Linked DNA regions of Rhinolophus ferrumequinum. The protein of the gene in region 1 interacts with the protein of each later gene in a pairwise test. Links are inferred from orthologs where the notes say so. Each region holds a gene or a part of one and is shown in the gene's direction. Other genes may lie near its edges.

Region 1 (7,441 bases):
GAAATTTTGAGACATTAAAAATACAGAAAAGTACTGTGGATGAAAACAAAGGTGTTCTTTGGAAGAAACCTCAAAGGGTGATCTATCTGATCATAACTTTCTAACTGAGCAGGTCATGGTGGGTAGTCACGCCCTAGGCATATAACTTCTTTGGTAAAGGCTCATCTTTGCCTTCAGCAAGGCCTGTCCATTGTTTCTGTGCATCCAAGTTAACACACCTTAGAAAGAAACCATAACCACCCCCAATAAAGCAAATAAACTTGCTAACTATCCTGCAATCCAGTTCACACCTTTCTCCCACCATCATGTAATCTTACTTTCCCTCCTTATTTTCAAATGCATAAAAGAAGCTGCAAAACTTTCATTTTCCAGAGCATTTGATATCTTGCTCTCCACCATGTCAGTTTGGCTCACATAAACTTATAAAAATTCTCTACAGGTTTGGATGTTTCTTACATCAACAGTACAAAGAATAATTCAAATAGTAATTATGTACCACCACCCCAAGTTGACAATTAGTATTTGTCCCATTTGCCTAAAGCCTTCATTTTTTTTTTTTTTTTTTTTAAGATTTTCTTGGGGAAGGGGAACAGGACTTTACTGGGGAACAGTGTATTTCCAGGGCTTTATTGGGGAACAGTGTGTTTTTTCCAGGACCTATCAGCTCCAAGTCAAGTTTGTCCTTTCAATCTTAGTTGCAGAGGGTACAGCTCAGCTCCAAGTCCAGTTGCTGTTTTCAATCTAGTTGCGGAGGGCGCAGCTCACTGGCCCATGTGGGAATCGAACTGGCAACCCTGTTGTTCAGAGTTCTAAACAACTGAGCTATCCAGCAGCCTCAGCCTTCATTTTTAAAATAACAGAAATAGTGTTACAGACATAGTTAACATCCCCTTTTGTGCATGTTTCCCCTCCCTCATGTTAATGCTCTTGACAAATAGTTCTGCAGTATTTTGCTGATTCACCAAGGAACAGGCCAGGTCTTGTCGGATAAGAACGTGGTAAGCTTCACAGGTACAGTCTCTGGAGTGAAAAAGATATTGTTAGTATGTACAAAGATTAGTTGGTAGTTTTCCAAATCCGCCTGTGTTAGCTTAGGTCTTATGGAGAAGCTTTATTAAAACAGTTTTTCAGGTAAATTCCAAAATCCCACTCCTCGATAAGCCTATTTACTTATGGCTTCACCAAAGCACCAAAAGCACTGACCTATATTCAGGTCAGCTTAGTCACAAAGAGATGGTTTACTAGCTCTTTGTCTCACCTGCTCCCAAGCTGAGGATTCAGTCTGGAGAGAGAGAGAGAGAGAGAGAGAGAGAGAGAGAGAGAGAGAGAGAGAGAGAGAGAGAGAGAGACAGAGAGAGAGAGAGACAGAGAGAGAGACAGAGAGACACAGGAGGTTGATAGGTCAGCCGATAAAGGAGCCTGCACGGTCAGGCAAGTTAAGAAAGTTTATTGTAAGAGAGCAAAGTCTATGGGGCCGTGCAAAGAAGGCTATAGCCCTTGAGGAAGGAGGTGAAGGGGGTTATATAGGGGGCGGTGCTCACAGGGTAGCATTGTTTGAACAGAAAAGGTTGACTGCTTGCCAGGCAACTGCCTGTAGCTGTTTTGAGGCGTTTTCTGTTATGGCAAGTTTGGCTCTGTCTGCAGGCGCAGGCCAACAGATATTTTGTTTTCTTGCAGACATGGCTCTCTGAGACCTAACATTCAGAGACCTAACAGAGATGAAAGTAAATCATCTCTCTTTGAAAGTTGAGGAATTAATTTTAAAGAGAAAAAACAAATGGTAGCAGAAAGTAGTGAAATTCTAACTTAGGCACATGCACTTTTTGCCACTTTCCAACCAAGATTCCTCATAGCAGAAAGAGTGAAAACCTAGATGGCATCTAGTCACCCCCGAATTTATAATCCTCTAGTGGCTTCTATTTGCTTGTGAACACCTTACACCATTGTCCGTGTGAGCGCTGCCTGGCTCGACCTGGCCCTGCCTGCTTGTCTGAGCTCATCACCCCTCTTCCCTTGCTCTCCACCTCAGAGCAAGGCTTCTTTTTCACCTCAGAGCAAGCCACCTCAGAGTAACTGGCTTCTTTTCAGTTCCTGGAAAACACCAAACGTTTTGCCTGAGAAGTTCTATTCTCCCTTAGTTTGTTTTTCATTGTTTAGGTCTCAACTTAAAATATCCCCTTCTTGGAGAGAGCTTTTCATAAACACCTTTTCACCTTATTTTCTATTCCAGCCCCTTTTTTATTTACTTTAGGATATGCCACAATTAAATTTTTTTTCTTTTAATTTCTAGGTTTTTGTCTGGTTTTCCAATGATAATGTCAGCTTCACTGGGACCATGTCTGACCTACACTCATCCAGCACACTGCCTACTACATAGGAAGCGTTCAATAAATGAGGAATGAGAATGAATAAAATGAGTAGAGTCTAGAGGTTAGAATTTATAATCACATCTGGCTGTAGGCTAGAACTCTGTATCACTCATAAGATCTGTCAAAACAAAACCGCATACACTGCTGTGATGAAAGTAAAATAATTTCTGTAAAAGACTATATTACTTTACACCATCTGCTGAAAAGACTATCCCCTTTTTCCGTTGAATTGCCTCGACACCTTTGTCAAAAATCAATTGACCATTCTGGAATTGCTATTCTGTTTCATTAACCTACATACTATCCTTATAGTACACATTTAAAAAGTAAAATAAAAAAGGGAAAAAAGCAAACCCTAAAACTGAAAGCAATCTGAAAGAAATGAACCTAACCGTTTATCAAATTAGTAACATAATTACACAGATTTATTTCATGTGACTTTTTGGGGACAAATTTACATACAATGAACTGCACAGACCTAAAAAGTACAATTAGATGAGTTCTGATGTCTGTGTGATCACCACCCCAATCAAGATACAGAATATTCCCATCATGCTAGAAAGTTCCTTTCTTGTCAATCCCACATCCCCTGCCCCAGGCAATAGTGTGCAGATTTCTATAACCATTAATTAATTTTGCTTATTTCTGAAATTTATATAAACAGAATCACACAGCATGTACATTTTTGTGTCTGGCTTCTTTCCCTCAACACAGTGTTTTTGAGATTACTTTGTATGCCACATATCAATGATTCATTTTTGCTTTATGCTGTGTAATTTCCATTGTATGAGTATACTTCAAAAAGTCAATGTTATTTAAAATAAGACTAGGAGACTAATAAAAATGTAACACCAAATGCAATGCATGACCCCTTTTTTAAACTATAAAAGCCATTAGGACAATCGCGAACATTTAAATATGGACTGGTTATTAGGTACTGCTAGGGAGTTCCTGACGGCCTTCTTAGCCCACTCAGCCTATTCTCGGCAAACCTCTATTAATGCACCGCCATTTTCTCAGTCACACAGGCTTAAAGCCTCTTATGAGGCCAGCTCTAGCCTTCTTTTCAATTCCCATGCACTCTCATACTAGTTCAGGTTCTGTTTTCTTTATTGAGCTATAACTCACATATCATACAATTCACCTATTTAAAGTGTAAAATTAAATGGTTTCAAGTATATTCACAGAGCTGTGTAACCATCACCCCCAAAAGAAACCCTGTACCCATCAGCAGTCACTCCTCATCAGGCTTTTATCATTCCTGATCTGCCTCCTTGCAACAGCATTCTAACTCATCTTCAACGCTCTCCTTCCAACTTATCTCATGTACACACTGACAATTGGATTTCCCTAAAGCGTGGTTAAAGATACTAGGCCCTCTCAACTAGTTACCTTCAGTGATTGCCACAAAGGACGCTTGGGTTCAAGTAAATAAACATCCATTAGCAAATTCTATTCCAGGCCCAGCGCTGGGCGCTACGAACACAATGGATTACCACTGAAGATTCCTTTTATTTCCACAGTGCTTCTGCTCAAGCAGGGCCCTCCACCTAGAATGACCTCTCTACTCCCAACCCCCAGAAATCTTTTCTGACAAGTGGTTGCCAACTCTGCAGCTCTCCTGACATTCTTGACAGTTCTCGAACACGGTCGATTACACACTGAAAGCGCAATACTTGTTTGTTTAATACAGCCGTAGAACATATTCTGTGGATACGGAACATAGTTCTTGGAAGCAGCAATGCTTCTTGTGGGCATCGCCAGCTCCTCTCCCCTCGTCAGTATCCCACCTCCCTTCCATCAGCCCTCAATGACCTCCACCAACCCCAGGAATCACATTTGAGCGACTCCTGGGAAAAGAGGGATCGGAGAGGTCGACTCTCCTGGGTCACACCTGCACGAAGACACCTCCAAAACTGCAAGGTCCGTACTTCCGCTGGGGAAAACGAGCCGCCCCTTCCGGCGCCCCACGGCGCCCCGGCCCGCCCCGCGCCGGCGGTGACGGAAGCACGCCGGGGGTGACCTCACCCTCCAACATGGCGGCGGCGGTAGATTAGGGTCGCCGGTCGCAGCAGGCACCGCCGCTGGGGGACCCTGTCGGAAACAGCTGCCGCCGCCGCCGCCGCCTCTTTCATCTCTTCTGGGGCAGGGGCCAGGGCCAGGTGAGGGAAGTGGGGTTCCGGGCAGGCAGAGCTGGTCCTCACTCAGCTCCTCAGGCGGTTTTTCACTGGGTAGGGAGGTGTCCAGAGACTGTGCCGAACCACCGGCCCCTCAGTGGTTCCGGCGACGCGCGAGTGAGTGTCCGTGTCTGACCGTGAGTGAATGAGTGTGCATGTGTACTGGCGCTTCTTCGCCCGAGGGTTCTAGAAGCTTAAAGGGCCCATTTCACCGTAGCTGGACCTGTCCAGCAAGGTCCCGTCGCGAACGCTTGTGGAGCGGGGCTTCCTGCGTGGGCTGCGGGAGGCGAAGGATCCCGGCTCCGGCTCTGCACCGCGGTTCTTCCCCACCGATACCCTCACACCGAAAACCCGGCTCCATTTTTAGAACCAGGCTGGGGAACGTGGGCTTCTTTTTGGTCGAGGAAAAGGTTTTCTTGCGATTCGTTTAGAATTATAGATTAGCTCTGCCCATCCTAGTCGTTTCTTCTTAACAGTGTTAGAAATTGTTTATGCTTTCTTCACTGCTGTTCTGACACCCATTATCATTTTTTCAGAAAAACCCTCCATACCCTTGGATGCAATAGTTTACACTGTGTTGTTTCTTACTTTGATTTCTATCTTCTCACCATTCCAAGGAGATCCCAAGTTTCTTTTCTTTAATAACTGACTGAAGGAAAACTAGACTCTTGAGTTGAGGCTTTAACGGGGTTGGAAATCGGACGGAACTGGCCAGCTCTTCACAGGCTCCTGACTGCTAGCTTTGTTTAGCTCTTAAGCACTCCCCGCACAAGTGTGTGTTTTTCCAAAATAGCTATCTCATCGTCTCTATTTAGAAGTAAACTGACAGTCCCTCCTTAACCCCCACTTCAATGACATAAAGCAACCAACAGAAAGTCTTTGCGAAATTTTTAGTAAGAGTGCCCCTGGGAGTTTGGTGTAAACCAGAATGTTGATCTCTGCTCTGACTTGTGTGACCTTGGATAGTTTGCCACACCCTTCTGATACCTTCTTCTTTCCTCCCAGAAAATTAAGCAAGTGTTTGTGTAAGTAGTGAACTATTTATACCTCATACACACAGTTGGATAAATATACACTGCACATTTGCACCTGCAAATTGAAAATATTTACACCGTTATGAAATATTCTTCATTTGATGATAGGCCATTAAGGATTTTGAAAATCCTTTTACTCTCAGTAAATACCATCTAAGTATTTTTTTTTTTAATGACTCATTTTCTCATGGAGAACTCTACCTCAGTAGTTGAATTCAGTTGGAGGATATGTAAGGTTGAGTTCATCCTGTTTTGTAAAGAAAAAATGTGATCACTAGCACACCGGTTAGTCAATATTTACTAAATATCTTTTTTTTTTTTTTTTAAGATTTTATTGGAGAAGGGAAGCAGGACTTCATTGGGGAACAGTGTGTATTTTCCAGGACTATCAGGGAAGTGTGTTTTTCCCAGGACCCATCAGCTCCAAGTCAAGTTGTCCTTTCAATCTTAGTTGTGGAGGGCACAGCTCAGCTCTAAGTCCAGTTGCCCTTGTTCAATCTTAGTTGCAGGGGGCGCAGTCCACCGGCCCTTGCGGGGGTCGAACCAGCAACCTTGTGGTTAAGAGCATGCACTCCAACAAACTGAGCCATCTGGCTGCCCTAAATATCTTAAATAAGAAGTTGTTAGGACAAGTGATTTGCAACTATAATAATCATTGTTTAAAAAGATATTTCTTATGAAATATTTTCAATGTACGAAACAGAAGTTTTAAACAATTAGTACTGCCATCCTGCTTTTTATGACTGTTTTCCAAACATGATTTTGGTTCATATCTTATTCCAAATATATGGTCACCAAGAATTCTTAAGTAATACATATTACAGAGTTGAAGGGAGCTGGACTCTTTTAAACAGCTTTATTGAGATATAATTCTCGCATACTGGTACAACTCACCAATTGCACAATTGAATGGTTTTTAGTATATTCACTGAGTGTATAACCATCACCACAATTTTCAGCACCCCAAAAAGAAATCTGGTACCCATTAGGAGTCATTATTTCCACTCTCCCCCACCTTCCCTACCTGGGCAACCACCGTTTTGCTTTCTGTCTGTAGATTTGCTGATTCTGGATATTTCATATAAGTGGAATTATGTAATATTTGGACTTTGTGACTGGCTTCTTTTACTTAGCATAATGTTTTCAGGGTTCAGCCATGTTATGGCATATGTCAGAACCTCATTCCTTTTTATGGCCTGATATTCCGTTGTATGAATATATCACATTTTTATTTATCAGTTGATGGGCAGATATTTCCACTATTTGGCTGTTTTATATATAATGCTGCTATGACTATTCCTGTGCAGGTTTTTATATAGGCATGTGTTTTTATTTCTCTCTGGCGTATATACTTAGGAGTGTAACAGTAACTGAATTTTATGTCTTCCTTTTACACAAGCTATCTACACATATGGGAATCCTAACTTACTGTGAAAGTCAGACTGTGTTTGTATGTCTGTGGGGAGAGAGTGAGAGTAAGGCTTTCCTCCATAAGTATATTATTATCTGGGAGTGCCAACTGCTGAGTGAAAACATTTTTGGGCAGATCTTAACACAAGATTGAACTGGAGTGTTTCAATTAGACATGTTGCAGTTGGAAAGGGATAGCCTACATTAGAATACTTAGGTTTTGCTGAGTTTTAAAAATGACACGTTGCCCAGTTGCATTTCTCAGCTGGATGGGGTGAATTTTTGCAATTTTACAGTTTTTATTAGGATTATTTAATTTTACCTATTTTCTTTTGGAAAAAGTCTTAGAATTCTGTAGGAGCTAGTAAAGCATGGATTAAGAAAATAGAGTTATTGGATTCATGTTAATTTCTGGAACTTTTAAAAAAATTCCCTACTCAAACCACCAGTG
Region 2 (7,159 bases), on another chromosome or scaffold:
AGGGTCCCCAACTCTGGTCCTTTGTTCCCTTGGCTACTGATTTGAGAATGAGAGTGTTTTAACTTTTTAATCGATGTGTAACAAGCATGCAGACGAGTATACGGATCCTGACTGTATGGCCCCATGGACCTCCGTGGCCCTTGCCGGCCACTGTCCACCCTTCCCAGGTTGACGCTGTCCTGACATCTTGTCCTATAGATCAGTTTTGTCCCTTCTGCTTTGAGGTTCATCCTTCTGGTAGGTGTGGGTATGTTCACCTGCCATCTGTGGGTGTGCCATCATGGAACTAACCAAGTTCATTGCCCTTATGTGTGTCCTTGAGGAATCCAAGGCAGTGATCCACCCGTGTTTTCTTCTGAGAATTGATAGTGTTAGCTCTTACATCTAAAGTTGGGTCCATTCTGAGCTAATTTTTTTGTACGTGGTGTGAAGTGGGGTCCAGCTTCATTCTTTCGTGTGTGGGAATGCTGCTGTCCCAGCATCGCTTGTGGGAAGGACTGTCCTTCCCCCACTGAATGGTCTTGGCACCCTTGTCGGCAGTCGATTGACTGTGTGGAGGGTTTCCTCTGTCTGTGCCGGAGCTACTTGGTCTTGATCACTGTTGTGTTATAGTAAGTTTGGAAGTTGGGAAGTATGAGTCCTGCCACGTTGTTCAAGATTGTGTTGAATCTCTGGGCTCTCTTGAGATTCCGTGTGAATTTTAGGATCAGCTTGTCAGTTTCAATAAGGAAGCTGGCTGGGATTGTGAGAGGGATGGCCTTGAACCTGTAGGTCAGGTTGGGAGTGTACCATTTAATGATATCCCATCTCCTAATCCATGAACATGGGATGTGTTTCCATGTCTTTAGGTCTTTTTTACTTTCAACAGTGTTCCAACAGTGAATGTTCGGTTTCCACCACTGAGTGTGGTGTTAGTTGTGGGTTGTGGTGCACGGGATTGGGAAGCTCTCCTCTGTCCCCCGTTTGCCGAATGTCTTAGTTTATTTTCAGTGAGAAAAGATGTATTCCTTTCCACCATTTGCTCCCGTGGCGAATGGTGGGTGCGTTCAGCATTTGCTCAACCATTCCCCATCGGTGGACATGTAGGCCAGTAGGACTTTGTCCATGGTCTCGAGTCATGTGTTAGTCAACACTCAGCAGTGTTTTGGGAGCAGCTGCACGTGCCAGTGCTGCTCTAAGCTGAGGATACACTGGTGACAAAGGTACTCCCGAGTTTGTAGTTGGGGGAAGAGCATCAAGTCAGCCCACCTGCGAGGGCGGTTCAGGCGCCAGGAGGGCCTGTGAGCGAGATGAGGCGGGGCCTTTCTCCCCGTAATGCTGGCGTTGGCACTCTCCACTGACCCTCGTGCTGCCCACCGGCCTGCCCATTGTGGGCTGTTCTCTGGGCATCTTGGCACACCCTGGGCCTAGGGAGGCCCTCACCCGTTCATCCCGGGGTTTCCCTGCTGTGTGTGTCCCCCCAATCCATTTTTATCATCTGTTGATTCCTTCACAGACTGCTCCCTGGGGTCAGCTCTGGGGGGGTCGGGAGGTGGGGACAGGGTGCCTTCCCACTCTGTCCCTGCCCCAGCTTAGCAGCTCATGGCTGCTTTCTGGGGGCAGGAGTGGAGGCAGCACAGACAGCGAGGAGGAGGAGGAAGAGGAGGAGGAGGACGACGAGGAGGACGACGAGGAAGACGGCCGGGTGGCTCGTGGAGGGGCCGGGCCCTCCTCTTACCCCAGCCCCGGCCCACAGCCTCCGGGTGGGTGAACACGCAGGCAGGGTGTGGTCAGGGGCTCGCGGGTGTCTGCCTGCTGTGCTCACTCTTGCCCCCACACCAGGCCCCAGCTGGACAGCTACCTTTGACCCAGTGCCTACAAATGCCCTGGCTGGCTCCCAAGACTCCGGGGACAAAGAGCTGTGCTCTGGGCCCCCTGTTTCCCAGGGGCCCCTCTGCATGCCCCAGGACCTCCCTGCCTCCAACGGGGCCGGCCCTGCAGCCCCCAACGCCCTGCAGCTCAGGTGAGGCTAGGAGGCAGGACCGGGAGGCGGAGCCAGGTTCTGGTTCCCTTTTGCTCCAGGGCTGACCCCAGCTGCCCACTTGGGCTGTTTCTCTCACCTCCCAGGTCTCAGGACCCCACACCCACCTCAGCACCTCAGGAAGCCACAGATGGCGGCAAAGTAGCAGAGCCCTCGGGTGAGCCCCTGCCACTGTCCGTCCAGCATGCCCTCCTGCCTACCGTCCCCCCCGCTGCGGCCCTCCCCCTGCTGTCCCCTGGCCTTACACACACCTCCAGTCTGGAGGACTTGCCAAGTCTCACATCTCTGGGCCTCTCTCCTCTGCACAGCCCCCTGTCGGGCCTTGGTCAGCTTCGGGGACCTCCAGGCCACCCTCAGAGGGACAAGCTCTGCCCACAAGTCCTTGGACAGGTGACTGGCTGGGGAGCAGCTTCTGGGGGGCCGCGTCGGGGAGGTGAATAGAGTCAGGCCCTTGGGTCGTCCCTGCCCCAGGGCTGTACCTGTACCCACATGGGAGCCATACAGTATCCTGGAGCCCAGGGCCCCCAGCCCAGCCTCAGGGGCAGGAAAGAGGCTTCCAGGAAGGACAGGAGTGTGTGGAGCCCGTCGCAGCCAACCTTGAGCTCCTGCCTGGGACAGCTCCCAGGGTCTTTGGATGTGAGGCCCTGGGCTGTGCCTTCCTTCAATACTCAGCAAACAGCTGACGGTAACCCCACTGACCTCTTCCCACAGTGCAACCAGAGACCCTACTACCTCTGTCCCAGCCCCTGGGGCCTACCAGCCCCCCCAGACCGTGGAGGGGGAGAAGAGCCCAGAGCCCTTGCGGCTCCCCCAAAACCAGAGGTGAGCATGGAGAGACCCTGCAGCGGGTGGGGGTGGTTTGAGAGGAGGCACTGACCCCTCATGTTCCTCTCCCCTGCTAGTGCCCAGGCCCTCCAGCTGCCTCCAATGCTCAACACCTCTGCCCCGGGAGGGCCAGTGTCCCCAGGCTCCCAGTGAGTGGCAGGGGCCAGGGGGTCGGGGGTAGGGGCGGCGGGTGCGCCGGCGAGCTCCTCACTCAGGTGTCCCTCTTGGTTCCTAGGTAACTGCCTGGTCCCGGTGGTGGCAGCCAAATCTTCGTCCTGCATGTGGACCCTGCCCGGGCGGGGGCAGGACAGGTCCCACAATGGCCCGTTGCCCCATCCCCCCATCCCCACCCCCCACGTTCTCTCCTCTGGACTCCCAGGAGGCTGGTGCCAGGGAGACAGGTCCCCTCCCCCCCCCATTTGCACTGAGAAAAGAAATGATGGAGTTTTGTCTCCTAGAATAAAGATATAGAGTCCAGTAGAGAGAGAGAGAGAGAGAGAGAGAGAGACCTATATTATATATTATATATATATATTGAGGGAGGAGAGAGTGGGTGGGAAGAGAGCCAGAAGGAAGCCACGCCCCAGGGCAGGCGGGGTGGGAGGTTGGACCATCACCCTGCCCCAGCTGGGGCTTCACTGGGGTTCCCAAGACACAGTCTTCCCTCTCCTCCCACCATGCTCCTTCCTCCCCACCCTCCTCACCCCGTGCAAACACCCACACCCACACTCGTCCTTTCAGCTCAGGTCCACCTGGAGGGGAGGGCCCGAGTGGGGGCCGTGCCTTTGCCCAGCCCCTCACCCTGGACCCTGCACTTTCCCCCAGGCTGGGAGCTAAAGGACCCTCTGCCGGGCCTGGTGGCTGTCTGGGACCTGGGGGTCCCAGTCCAAGGGGGCCTCCCTAGTGACATTCCCATGAGGCCCTGATACACTCATGAGACCCTTGCACCTCCATGGACCCCAGCGTGGGGGTCTGGCAGGGGTCCGGCTGGGGTCCCCCTCCTGTGCTTGAGGGTCTGGGGTCCAGCCCAGCTGCCAAGTGACCTTGTCCCAGCTCCCTGTCCCCAGGCTGGCGTGAGTGTTGTGTGTTCGTGCCGAGCTTCTATTTCATATTGCAAATATAAATAAATAAGACAGTTTAAGAGTCCTGCCATTCAGACCTTGAGCTCTGGGACATGGGGTGGGGGGGGCCTGAACTGTCCCCGCACCTCCCTCAGCCTCTGGGGTTTGACCTTCAGAATGTGGAACTAGGCTCTTAAAACTCCACACACTCTTGGGGGTGGGACTTCTGCTTAGACCAGGAAGGGCTTTCCTGGGAGGAGGAGCTGGGCATTGCCCAGCCTTATCTGGGAGCCGTCTCCGAGGGTCCCCTTAGTCTCCCCAACCCCACATGTCCACTGCTCACCCGTCACCTACCCTGGCCGGCCGCGGAGGGGACCTTGTGGAGCTACGTGCCCTGAGCCACCTCCTTTCTGGTGGAGCAGTGGGAGGCTGGGGGCAGCCAAGGAAGCGAGCGAGTGAAGCCAATGGGTGCCCAGTAGGTCTGTGCCCTCCAAAGGGGAAGTTAACGACCAGACCTGTGTGGGAAGACTGTTCTGGTGACATCCAAAGCTGTGGGCTGCAGGCTGATGATGACCTCAGACAACTGTGGCGTTTGATCAGGAAGTGCTTATGGTGAAGGCCACGGCATGGGGGTGGTGCAGAGTGGTTTGGGCTCTCACCGGGAAGCAACCATCCAGAGGCCCAAGTGTAGGAAGGACCCCTGGGTGGCCTTCTTGGGGTCCCAGAGTGGTGAGGGGTAGAAGGCAGCCTGCCTCTTGTTCTGGCAGGGTGGTCCCCCCACCCCACATGGAGAGGAGGGCATTGAGTGGCTAGGCACAGGACTAGAGGACAGGCATTTGTACCCACAGCCTCCCAGGCAGAGGGGGAGGAAACTAGGTCCTGCGGGGGCCGGAGGAGTGACCCCTGCAACCTGATGGGCCACCTTATCAGCAAGTGCCAGGCAGGGCCATCGCCGGGTGGGGGAAGCATCTCCCTGAGCCGATATCAGTCTCAGAGTCCACAGGACACTCCCGGGTTAACGTGTAACCGTACGCAGTCCCCTCCACTTCCAAAGCCACCGGTGCCCATACAGACCACTCTGGGGGGTCACAGGCCGATATGGACGCCCGGAAAGAGGGGCTGCCCCGAAATCCTCACTTCGCAGTCCAAGTGAGAGCCCCTGAGTGTGGGAGGGGGGCTGGGCCTGGGTTCCTGGGGACTCAAGCAGCCTGGAGGAATCGGGGGGCCCTGGCCTCCCCATAGGCTGGGTTCTGTGGGACTGGAAGTCCTGGGATCCCTAGGTGGGGGTGGGATGGAAGCCCCAAGACTTGAGTTTTGGCCGGGTGGGGCCTGACCTCCAAGGGCCGGGGGCTGGCAGGGTCCCTGAGGTCAGGTGGGTTCCCGAGCCTCATCACAGGGGGCTAGGCTGAGCTCCAGTGGTTCAGCAGCCCTTTGTTCCCGAAGCAGCCACACCTGGTCAGGTGCCTGAGCCCCTTCTTCCTCACCTGTGCCATCTACTTCCTCCTCTGGATCCCTGAGGACCCACCGTCCTGGGTTGGTGCCCTGGTCAAGTGCCTGCCTGTGCTGTGCCTGGTGGGGTTCCTGCGGGCCTGCTCTGGCGGGTGCTACAGCTGTCTCCTGCAGGTGGCCCTGCTGTTCTCAGCCTGTGGGGACGTCTTTCTCATCTGGCCCGAGGCCTTCCCCTACGGTAGGCAGGAGGAGCAGGGCCATGTTGTCTCTTTGGGACTTCCACACTGAGGGAGGGGTCTGGGGTCCAGGGGCGGCTACCCGATAGCACCTGCCATAGCCAGGTGGCGTTCAAAGGCACTGGGGTATAGCAGTGACCAACACCCATCCAGACCCCTGTCCTCATGGAGCTCAGTCCACTGAGGGGCTGGGCAGCCTTCCTTTAGAAGGTGTGTGGCAGGCATGGAGGAAACAACAGAGGTCTAGGTGTCACAGCCTTGAGTAGACTGGTTGAGGTTGGCCTTGCTGAGACAGGGACATCTTGGAGGGGATGCAGGAAGGATGGTCCAGGCAGAGGGGCAAGCAAGGTGGGAGTGTGCCTGGTGTGTGCGTGCAAACAGGTCTGGTCATGGAGCAAGTGGGAAGCAGTGGTGGGGGAGGGGTGTCAGTGGACAGTTCTGAGCAGCCTAAGGACAGATCCCACCACGTGGCCCAAGGGCAGGGGAGGCGAGGCCACCAAGGAAGCGGGGTGGCACAGCCGGGGTGGGAGCTGGTGCTCGGGGGCAGTCCTGACCCTCAGGCTCGGGGGTGGAGAGGCAATGCAGCGAAGGCCTCACTGGGTGCCCTGAACCTGTGTCCTCCAGGCGTGGCTGCCTTCACCAAGGCTCAGATGCTCTACATCTGGGCCTTTGGCCTCAGGCCCCTGCAGCTGGGCCTCCTGCTGCCTGTTGTCCTGGCCTCCCTCCCGTTCTACTGCCTCCTGCGGCTGCACCTCTCCCCCGACATGGTCCTGCTCCTGACAGCCTATACCCTGGCCCTCGCCACCATGCTGTGGCGTGGCCTGGCCAGGGGTGGGAGTGCCCGCTGGGGAGCGCTGCTCTTCACCATCTCGGATACCGTGCTGGCCTGCAACACCTTCATCCAGCCCCTGCCCCACGCCCGCCTGGTGGTCATGGCCACCTACTACGCTGCCCAGTTCCTCATCTCCCTGTCGGCCTTCCAGAGCCCCAGGCTCAAGACCAACTGACTGGGCGTCCAGGCATGCAGACATCTGCCCCCTCCTATCCTGCAAGGACCTCGACCTCCCAGAAAGGCCCAGTGAGGGAAATGCCCTCGGGTCCGGGAGCCAGGCTCCCAGACTCCCATCTGCAGGCGCCGATCCATTTGGAGATGTGTGGGAACCGTTTGCAGAATTCGAAACCACACCAAACACCCTCCCTCTGTTCTGATTCCAGGTTCCAGGCCCCTCAACCAGGCCTCTGCCTGCTCCCGTGACCCCAGGTGGCTTCCCACGCCGCCTACCCCCGTCCTTCTGGCCCTAATCTATCTTTGTTACCTGAGTAAAGCTGACATTGAAACGACATCTCCTTTATTTGGGAAGGGGTGTTAGGGAGAGCGGTGATCACAGTAAGAAAAAACGTTTTATTCCTTTTTTACCTCCAACAAAATTTATCATTTAAGGTGTATGATTCAGTGACAATGAAGTACACTCACAGTGGTGTGCACTGACTAAAATTCTCGAGGGCTGGCCCGGTGGCTCAGGCGGTTGGAGCGCTGTGCTCCTAACGCTGAAGGCCACCAGTTCGAT
Region 3 (7,002 bases), on another chromosome or scaffold:
CCTCTAAATATTTCTCTATGCATCTTTAACTGATAAAGAACTCTTTAAAACCACCATCACCATGCTATTACCATGCCTAACAAATGTAACAAAGTCCTTAGTATTATCGGATCCCCACTGACTGATTTTGAATCCCACGGATCCTATAAACTGCATACCACTTGCCCTGCCTGGATTTCTAATGTGGGCCTCCTGCTAGCCTGAGAAGTGCAGAGAGTTGGAGACTCGGGCCACAGCAGCCTGAAGCCTGTTCATCCTCCCAGTGGCTGTTCTTGCTCAGGGCAGAGGCTTTCTATTCAGATATTCTTTTGGAGCAGCACAATCTCTCAAGCAACTTCGAAGCAATGTGAGTCTGGAAAGATGCATTACCTCGAGGTGGCTCTGTCCCTTGCCTGCTGGGTGGCATTTTTCTGTACCCCATGAGAAAAATGGAACAAAAAAACATTGATCCTCAGGAGTTGGGTATTTGACAGCCAAGGACAGTAGAAGTATTTCTGCTGTGCTCAGAGATCATATCAAACATGCCGCCTCTCTGCAGGGCCCACTGTGCCAAAGCTGGCCAAATTTCCATGTTGGTGGAGGTGGGTTATGTGGACAACTGATTTATCCACGGTGCTAGTAGCTGATTGGTGCTCCCCAGGCACTCCTTTCCTGGGCTTATTAATCTGATTATTTTGGCTTCCAGTCTACCTTGCACTTTATCCCCAAGTCATGGGCATCTCCCCTTCTCGAATACATATCCAACTCATCACCTGCCCCCATCCATCCTTGCACTGCTCCCTGAATCTTCAGGAGAGGAAGAAGAGCAGCCTCCACTCCCCCCGCCCACACCAGCTCAAAGTATGTGACATCTCTGGCCCTCAGCCCTCAGTTCTCTTGGCCAGAAAGGCACGGCTAAGCCAATCGGCATGAGGTTGGGTGTGGGGAGTTCTATCAGCAAGTACATAGAGCATAATATATTGCCTGCCAGCCAGCCAGCCAGCCAGCCAACCAGCCTTCTGTGTCAGGGCTAGAAAAGCTGTAAGAAGAAGCCTCTTGCATTCCTAAGCTTGATCTGGGAAGACATTATCTTGGGGAGGAGAAGCAGAACCTCAGCTCCAGGAGCCCAAATGCTGGCAGGTGACCCCCCAACTTTCACTGGTATTGTGCCTTCTCTGTTCCCCTTTGCGATCTTTTATGTAGACATGGAGAAGTGGACCACCAGATTGGGCACTTGAGCCCTTATTTAATTTCCTGGGAGAAACTCACTTCCCTGAGTTTCAGAGTTCACTCTATACAACGGAGCAAAGAGAACCCACATGTCCAGTGGCCTTCAAAAACCAGGTACTGTGGGATCACAGAGCAGAGAGTGGAGGGTAATACCCAAATGTTTTGTAATTATTTGCAAGAAAGCTGCGCAACCAAAGTAAGCTATGATCAAGGGGGCCAAGATCCTCTCCTCTGAGATACTATCAGAATTGAGTGAAGCCAACTGTTTATTAGTTTCATAAAATCCTCCATTTTTCCTACAGGCACCCAGTGCAGGCAGCAGGCTGCCACCAAGAAGGCTGGCAGTGCCCTCTTGAGGAATCCCTGGGCACTGCTGGGTACCCAGCTGGACTGGAAAACATTTTGCCAAGGGCACCCAGTAGAACCATTGGAAACAGAATCACAGGAATAGGTGGGGTTGGGTGGATAAAAAAGTCCCTTTGGGAGTCTGGAAACCAGAAACCCTATGAAGGCTGTGGGAAAGGCTCAGGAGAAGGGGTGGTGAGTGGGTGCTGAGGCAGAGTGTCAGGACTCCAGAGTAACTGCCTGCAGCACGCTAGATTCTGGGGAACTGGGAATCTTAAGGCACCAAGGACAGTAAGCATGACACAGTCACCTGGCCGAGCCCCTTTCCCATTCCTGGGCATAAGAACAAGATGGAGACAAGAAGGCATACTCCATCAAGGAGTGCAGAGAGAGAAAAAGAAACAAACAGAGACAGAGAAACAGAGACACAGAGAGATTGAGACTTGGGGAAAAGACAGCATGAATAGTAAGGCAATAGAGATGGAGGAAAGACGAAGAGAAATGTGTGGTAGGTCAACATAGTTGAAAATTTGGTATCTGCGGGTTTATTGGGAATACATCTTTTTTTCCGAACAGCCAAGGAGTCCCCAGAGCTGCTGCTGCTGAGAATCCAGGGGCAGATTTGTGAGAGGGCTCAGCATGAGCAATGTCCCCTGCATGCAGGGCTATCTCATCTATTCGGGCTGTGAAAAACCATCTCCCTCATCCTTAAATCAGAACCTCCAAAGTTTGGACTCAGTTCCTTCTGTCATCTGAGGAGCTGAGGGCACACATCTGGGGATTTCTTGCTCTTGATCCTCCTTCTCCAGGGCCATTCTGACAAGAACCATCCAGAAGTTAATTGTTGGCACAATCTTACAACTCAGCTACCTCAGCAGGTAAAATCTATGGCTGGAGAGAAAGGCTGGAGAGGTCAGATGTCCCGGGCCTCTGTACCCTCAGTCATACGGCCTAAGTCTGATCTGCTCTGGAAGCCTACTGTACTATTCTGCAAAAGAGGCAGCCTTCACAGGGGTCCTTTCTCCTTGAGCTGCTATAAGAGCCTTAAACACTGCAGGATGCAGGACTCTAGTAGACCCACAAGGGCATCTGCATGAGACTCACTCTTTTCCTAATGACAGAGCCCAAGCCAGAAACAAGTCCAAGGTCACAGCTCAAAGAGAAAACTGTAAGACACAATCTTGCTCTCTCCCCCAACAGGAAGATTCTAAGCTCTATTCAGCACCTCCTTCCTCTCCTTTCTGACCCCAAGGCAAAGCCATAGGAAAAACTCTAGGGGTCCATACCTTCTTTCCTTGGAGTCTTCCAACAGGTATTCCTCCAGTTATTTGCCAACCAGTTTCCTTACAGGCCACCCATGGTAGGATGTGGGCCTCAGGTTCAAGAGATTTATGCCTTTCTGAGGCTCCTGAAGGGATAGAAAACACTAACAAGGAGCCTAGATAGACACTGGTTAAGATTCATCTTTTCTATAATAGAAAACCTTCCCTGGCTAATCCCACTTGGCCCTGGGCACTCAAATACCTTCATAGTCTTTAGAAACACCTATTATTGGTAAAGCAGGTTTCATATATTATTCCCCTATTTTTGCTGCTTGGCCATTTTTTCTTAGTGTTTCTTTCTCTGAGGCAAGCACTATATTTACTTTCGCCTTCTCTCCACCTTCACCGTTACCTGCTGCTTCAACCCAACCCACTCCCTGCCTCTCACCAGCCTGGCCTCAGCTCTCTGATGATACTACATTCTCGGGATGGGATACTGACTACGTGATTCCCAGATCATGTTCTTGACTTGTCTCAAAGTCAATTACCCTCCTTGGAAATCACCCACATTCCTAACTCTGACATTTTCTTTAGCCTATTCTGTGAACCTGCACAGGTCTTGCCCGCTCTCTGGGTCTCTGTTGTCCTCTCGATAAAATTATTATAATTCTAGCCTCCTCTAGCTTTATCACAATCTGTTCGTGGAATTAACAGCTTGTATTTTGTCCTCATTCAGTTGGAGGATTTGGAGGAAATTATTTTAAAATACAAATTTTTCTTTATTGTGTTTATGGAGCTGGGTGTGGGGGGGTGCTTATTTGCTAAGGAGTCAGGTGAAGGGAAAGGTGGACAAGGCTAAGGGCAGCTATGAGTGAGGGGTGGGGTTGGGGCCAGAGTTGGAAAGACTCTGGGAGATAGCATGTGGGTTTTGACCTTGACCCTTCACCAGAGCTACCATTTCCATGGCTTCTGACACTTGTGCGGTCACATCCTACACCAAATAGATCTGAGGATCAGTTGGAGGCTTCCAGGACCTCTTCTTTTTATTTCCACCCCAAAACCACATTTCCAGATGTCTCTTCAGCAAAGTGAAATTCCACACAGACAAGTCTTAGGAAAAAAAAGAAAATGAAACAATTGGCAGTGAAAGGCAGAAAGAGAAGATGGAGCCCTTAGAGCAGGGAGTATCCCCGAGGAGGTGGGGACAAAGGAGGAGAAGGGGAGGAGGAGAGGAGGAGGAAAGCGGGCCTGTCCCTTTAAGGGGGTTGGCTGTCAATCAGAAAGCCCTTTTCATTGCTGGAGAAGAGGACAAAGATACTCAGAGAGAAAAAGTAAAGGACCGAAGAAGGAGACTGGAGAGACCAGGATCCTTCCAGCTGCACAAAGTCAGCCGCAAAGCAGACTAGCCAGCCGGCTACAATTGCAGTCAGAGTCCCAAAGCCATGGGTGAGTTTCAAAAACTTTAGCATGGAAGATTCAAGCAGGCACAGGAATGCTCAAGAGAATTTCCAACTTTGGGGTTCCGGGTTTTCAATAGTTTAAATGAGTTGTGTTTTGGCATTTGTTTTCTTTTTAATTCCTTAGCACTCAATTGGATTAACTCCTTCTCTGCTGTATTGAGATTGATGCTTTATTGCCAAAGAATTCCAGCAGTGCGTGGAGAGTCCCACAGGTCCTTGGAGAGAGTGCCCAGCGGGCTGGATGTGGTCATGTGTCCTCCTACCCCCTCACTTCCTTCTACCTTCTCTTTCACCCTGGTTCCCAGGCCCTGGTAATGGCCAGGTCAGCTGACATCCCTGGTTCTGCTGGAAGCAACTGAGTGCTGGCTAGCCCTCAGATATACTAAATAACTGCTTGCTTGATACAAAATTTGGACCTGTTTGCAACAGTAGGAAACTGGGGAATTGGGCAAGTTGGATTCAGGCTTGGCCATAGCTGAGGAGGCCAATCTCAGTTCAGGAAATGAAAATAAAGTCTTCAATGGCTTTACCACAGGGAATGGATATGAGTAGGGGTGTGTGTGTGTGTGTGTGCACGTGCGTGCATGTGTATGGGTGACCATATCTAGCAAATATCACAGACTTACCCTTTCTGAGGGCATGGCCCAGACTCTAAATCCCTGCTTTGACAAGGAGGCTGCAGGGACCTTAGGGATCTTGCTGACTTGGTTGAGTACTGAGAGCTTCTCTAGGTTCCATGATAAAAGAGAGAAGCTACGAGTTCTGATCTCTGGTAGTGTCTACTCAGAGCAAGGTGTGCAGAGCAGAAGAGTCTTTGTTCACACAGTATGCCACAGAGATGTGTAGACGTTGCTCCCATCTGGAAAAACAAGAGGAGCAGCTTGAATGTATCCTAAATGAAATGAAAGTCAATTGCCTTGTGTATTCACCATCAAATGTAGTACCCAGAAGACTCAAGGAGCATCCAGGAAGATAGGTTTTCAATTCCATTAAGCTGGTGTCAGCCTTTAGATTGTTTCATCCTGAAACACCGAAAGAGCTCTTGGAAGCATATGTTCAGGTAGGATAATTAAGAAGGTAGAGCACTGGACTAGACAACACAACCAGGTTGGAATCCCAGATCTGCCACTTATGAACTTCATGACCTTGGGTAGGTCACTGTGAGTTATCACTTTTTCATCTGGAAAATGGGGATCACAACTGTTTTGTATACTTTTCGGGTTGTAAAAATCAAGTAATAAAAATGTGAAAGTCCTCTGAAAATGGGCAAGCTCTATAACAATTGTAAATCATGATAATACTGATTATTATACAATAACTTGTGTGCAGGCTGACTCTTACTTTTTCCAAAGTGGTTATTTTTTCTTTTTCTTGTTTTCTTTTTTTTGGTCTGTACTTTGTACACTTGGGTAAGAATCATTTGACCACTTGAGTGTGGCCAGGTGAGAGGCAAATGTTGGAGAAAGTCAATTTTTGCCCAAGGTAACATCAGAAATGTCACCTAATGTTAGGGCAGCTGATTCGGTAGTTTGTGAATTAAAAACAGAGCGAGAGTAAAGAAGCATGCTGAATATTGCTTCCTCAGGGGGTTACAGCCCCGAGGAAAAGACAGGAACAAATAAGATGACCACAGGGACAGTTTCTTGTTATGGAAGCTGGATGATTTCCTCCGCGGAGATTGCCACAGATAAAGGCAGAGTTGAGGTCTCGTATTGTATCCCAGATTCTGATGGTGGGAGATACTTGGGCCAGGTGCATATGATGGAGTAGTCATTGAGTTTTCAGTTATTCAATAACAAAGTATCTCAGATACTTTGTAAATAATAGACCATCTCCAACAAGGAACTGAACTGTTACTACTTCTGAAGTGGAGTGAGTAGCTGTTTAACAATTGTAGTAGACAAATTATATCATGGAATCTGGGGTTGAAAGGAACTTTAGAAGCTGTCTGAGCCAAATCTCAATGCAGGAGTCCCTTCTACAACAGCCAAATAAACATTCCTACAGCCTCTTCTTAATCACCTCCAGGAACAGGGAGCTCACTACCTCAACCATATAGAATCCCATAGGATTGGAAGTAAAGAGGAACACTGAATTCAGCAGTGTCTGCACAAAAGGTTTATGGGGAAAATGATAGTTCATTAAATCTTGTCCCGACTTGGGAGGAGAATGTTCTAAATGAGTCTTTGGGATAACAACGGAACTGCAAAAGAGCCAAAGGGAAGTAGCTGATTATTCTCTGCTCAGTTACACAATGCCATTACTGAAGAGCAAAATGTTGGCTTCTGCAAGCCTGTTTCTGAGAACAGTGGCTGTTACCCTGGTAATCAGACTGTGATGCTTCTCTCTAAAGGTGGCTGTTTGCTGAACAGTGTAGTTTTGGCTGGCTCAGAGTAAGTGGGTGTAGCCCGGGCAAAAAGTGTACAGGCGGAGCAGGGGTCCAGTTTTACACAACACCTGAAGACTAACTGAGTCCCCCCATGACAGCAAGAATGCCGTAAGAATGCCAGGAGCTAAAAAGCAACCAGATCCTAACCAGCACGTTCATTTATGCTTCTTAGAGACATTGTCTGAAATGATCACAGATAGTCTTCCCTACCCCACTTCTGACCTAGGCCTTGCAGAGCCAGAGGAGCTCTTGGGGAGCCAGGCTGATAGAAAAGACTGCTCTGCTTCAAGGGGCTTTCATCCTAGGTTTGCGCTAGGAAAACAGGTTTACTCAACAG

Evidence for each region. The genes of interacting proteins can lie anywhere in the genome.
Region 2: the proteins of BCL2L13 (region 1) and TMEM86B interact in binary tests that used the Homo sapiens proteins (3 or more experiments, as listed by UniProt). The two-hybrid records come from large-scale screens. The link is inferred for Rhinolophus ferrumequinum from reciprocal best matches to the Homo sapiens genes BCL2L13 and TMEM86B.
Region 3: the proteins of BCL2L13 (region 1) and PLP1 interact in binary tests that used the Homo sapiens proteins (3 or more experiments, as listed by UniProt). The two-hybrid records come from large-scale screens. The link is inferred for Rhinolophus ferrumequinum from reciprocal best matches to the Homo sapiens genes BCL2L13 and PLP1.

What each region holds. Positions count from the first base shown.
Region 1 is NC_046293.1:91,128,294-91,135,734, forward strand, and holds the start of BCL2L13 (bcl-2-like protein 13), read left to right. Parts: upstream 1-4,366; 5' UTR 4,367-4,531; intron 4,532-7,441. UniProt on the Homo sapiens protein: May promote the activation of caspase-3 and apoptosis.
Region 2 is NC_046298.1:48,413,643-48,420,801, reverse strand, and holds TMEM86B (lysoplasmalogenase), read left to right. Parts: upstream 1-4,127; 5' UTR 4,128-5,004; coding exon 5,005-5,055; intron 5,056-5,310; coding exon 5,311-5,593; intron 5,594-6,215; coding exon 6,216-6,598; 3' UTR 6,599-6,932; downstream 6,933-7,159. Other genes in the region: PPP6R1 (serine/threonine-protein phosphatase 6 regulatory subunit 1), read left to right, coding at 1,603-1,742, 1,822-2,002, 2,107-2,177, 2,329-2,410, 2,732-2,842, 2,923-2,994, 3,081-3,084. UniProt on the Homo sapiens protein: Catalyzes the hydrolysis of the vinyl ether bond of choline or ethanolamine lysoplasmalogens, forming fatty aldehyde and glycerophosphocholine or glycerophosphoethanolamine, respectively and is specific for the sn-2-deacylated (lyso) form of plasmalogen.
Region 3 is NC_046284.1:51,142,077-51,149,078, reverse strand, and holds the start of PLP1 (myelin proteolipid protein), read left to right. Parts: upstream 1-3,970; 5' UTR 3,971-4,258; coding exon 4,259-4,262; intron 4,263-7,002.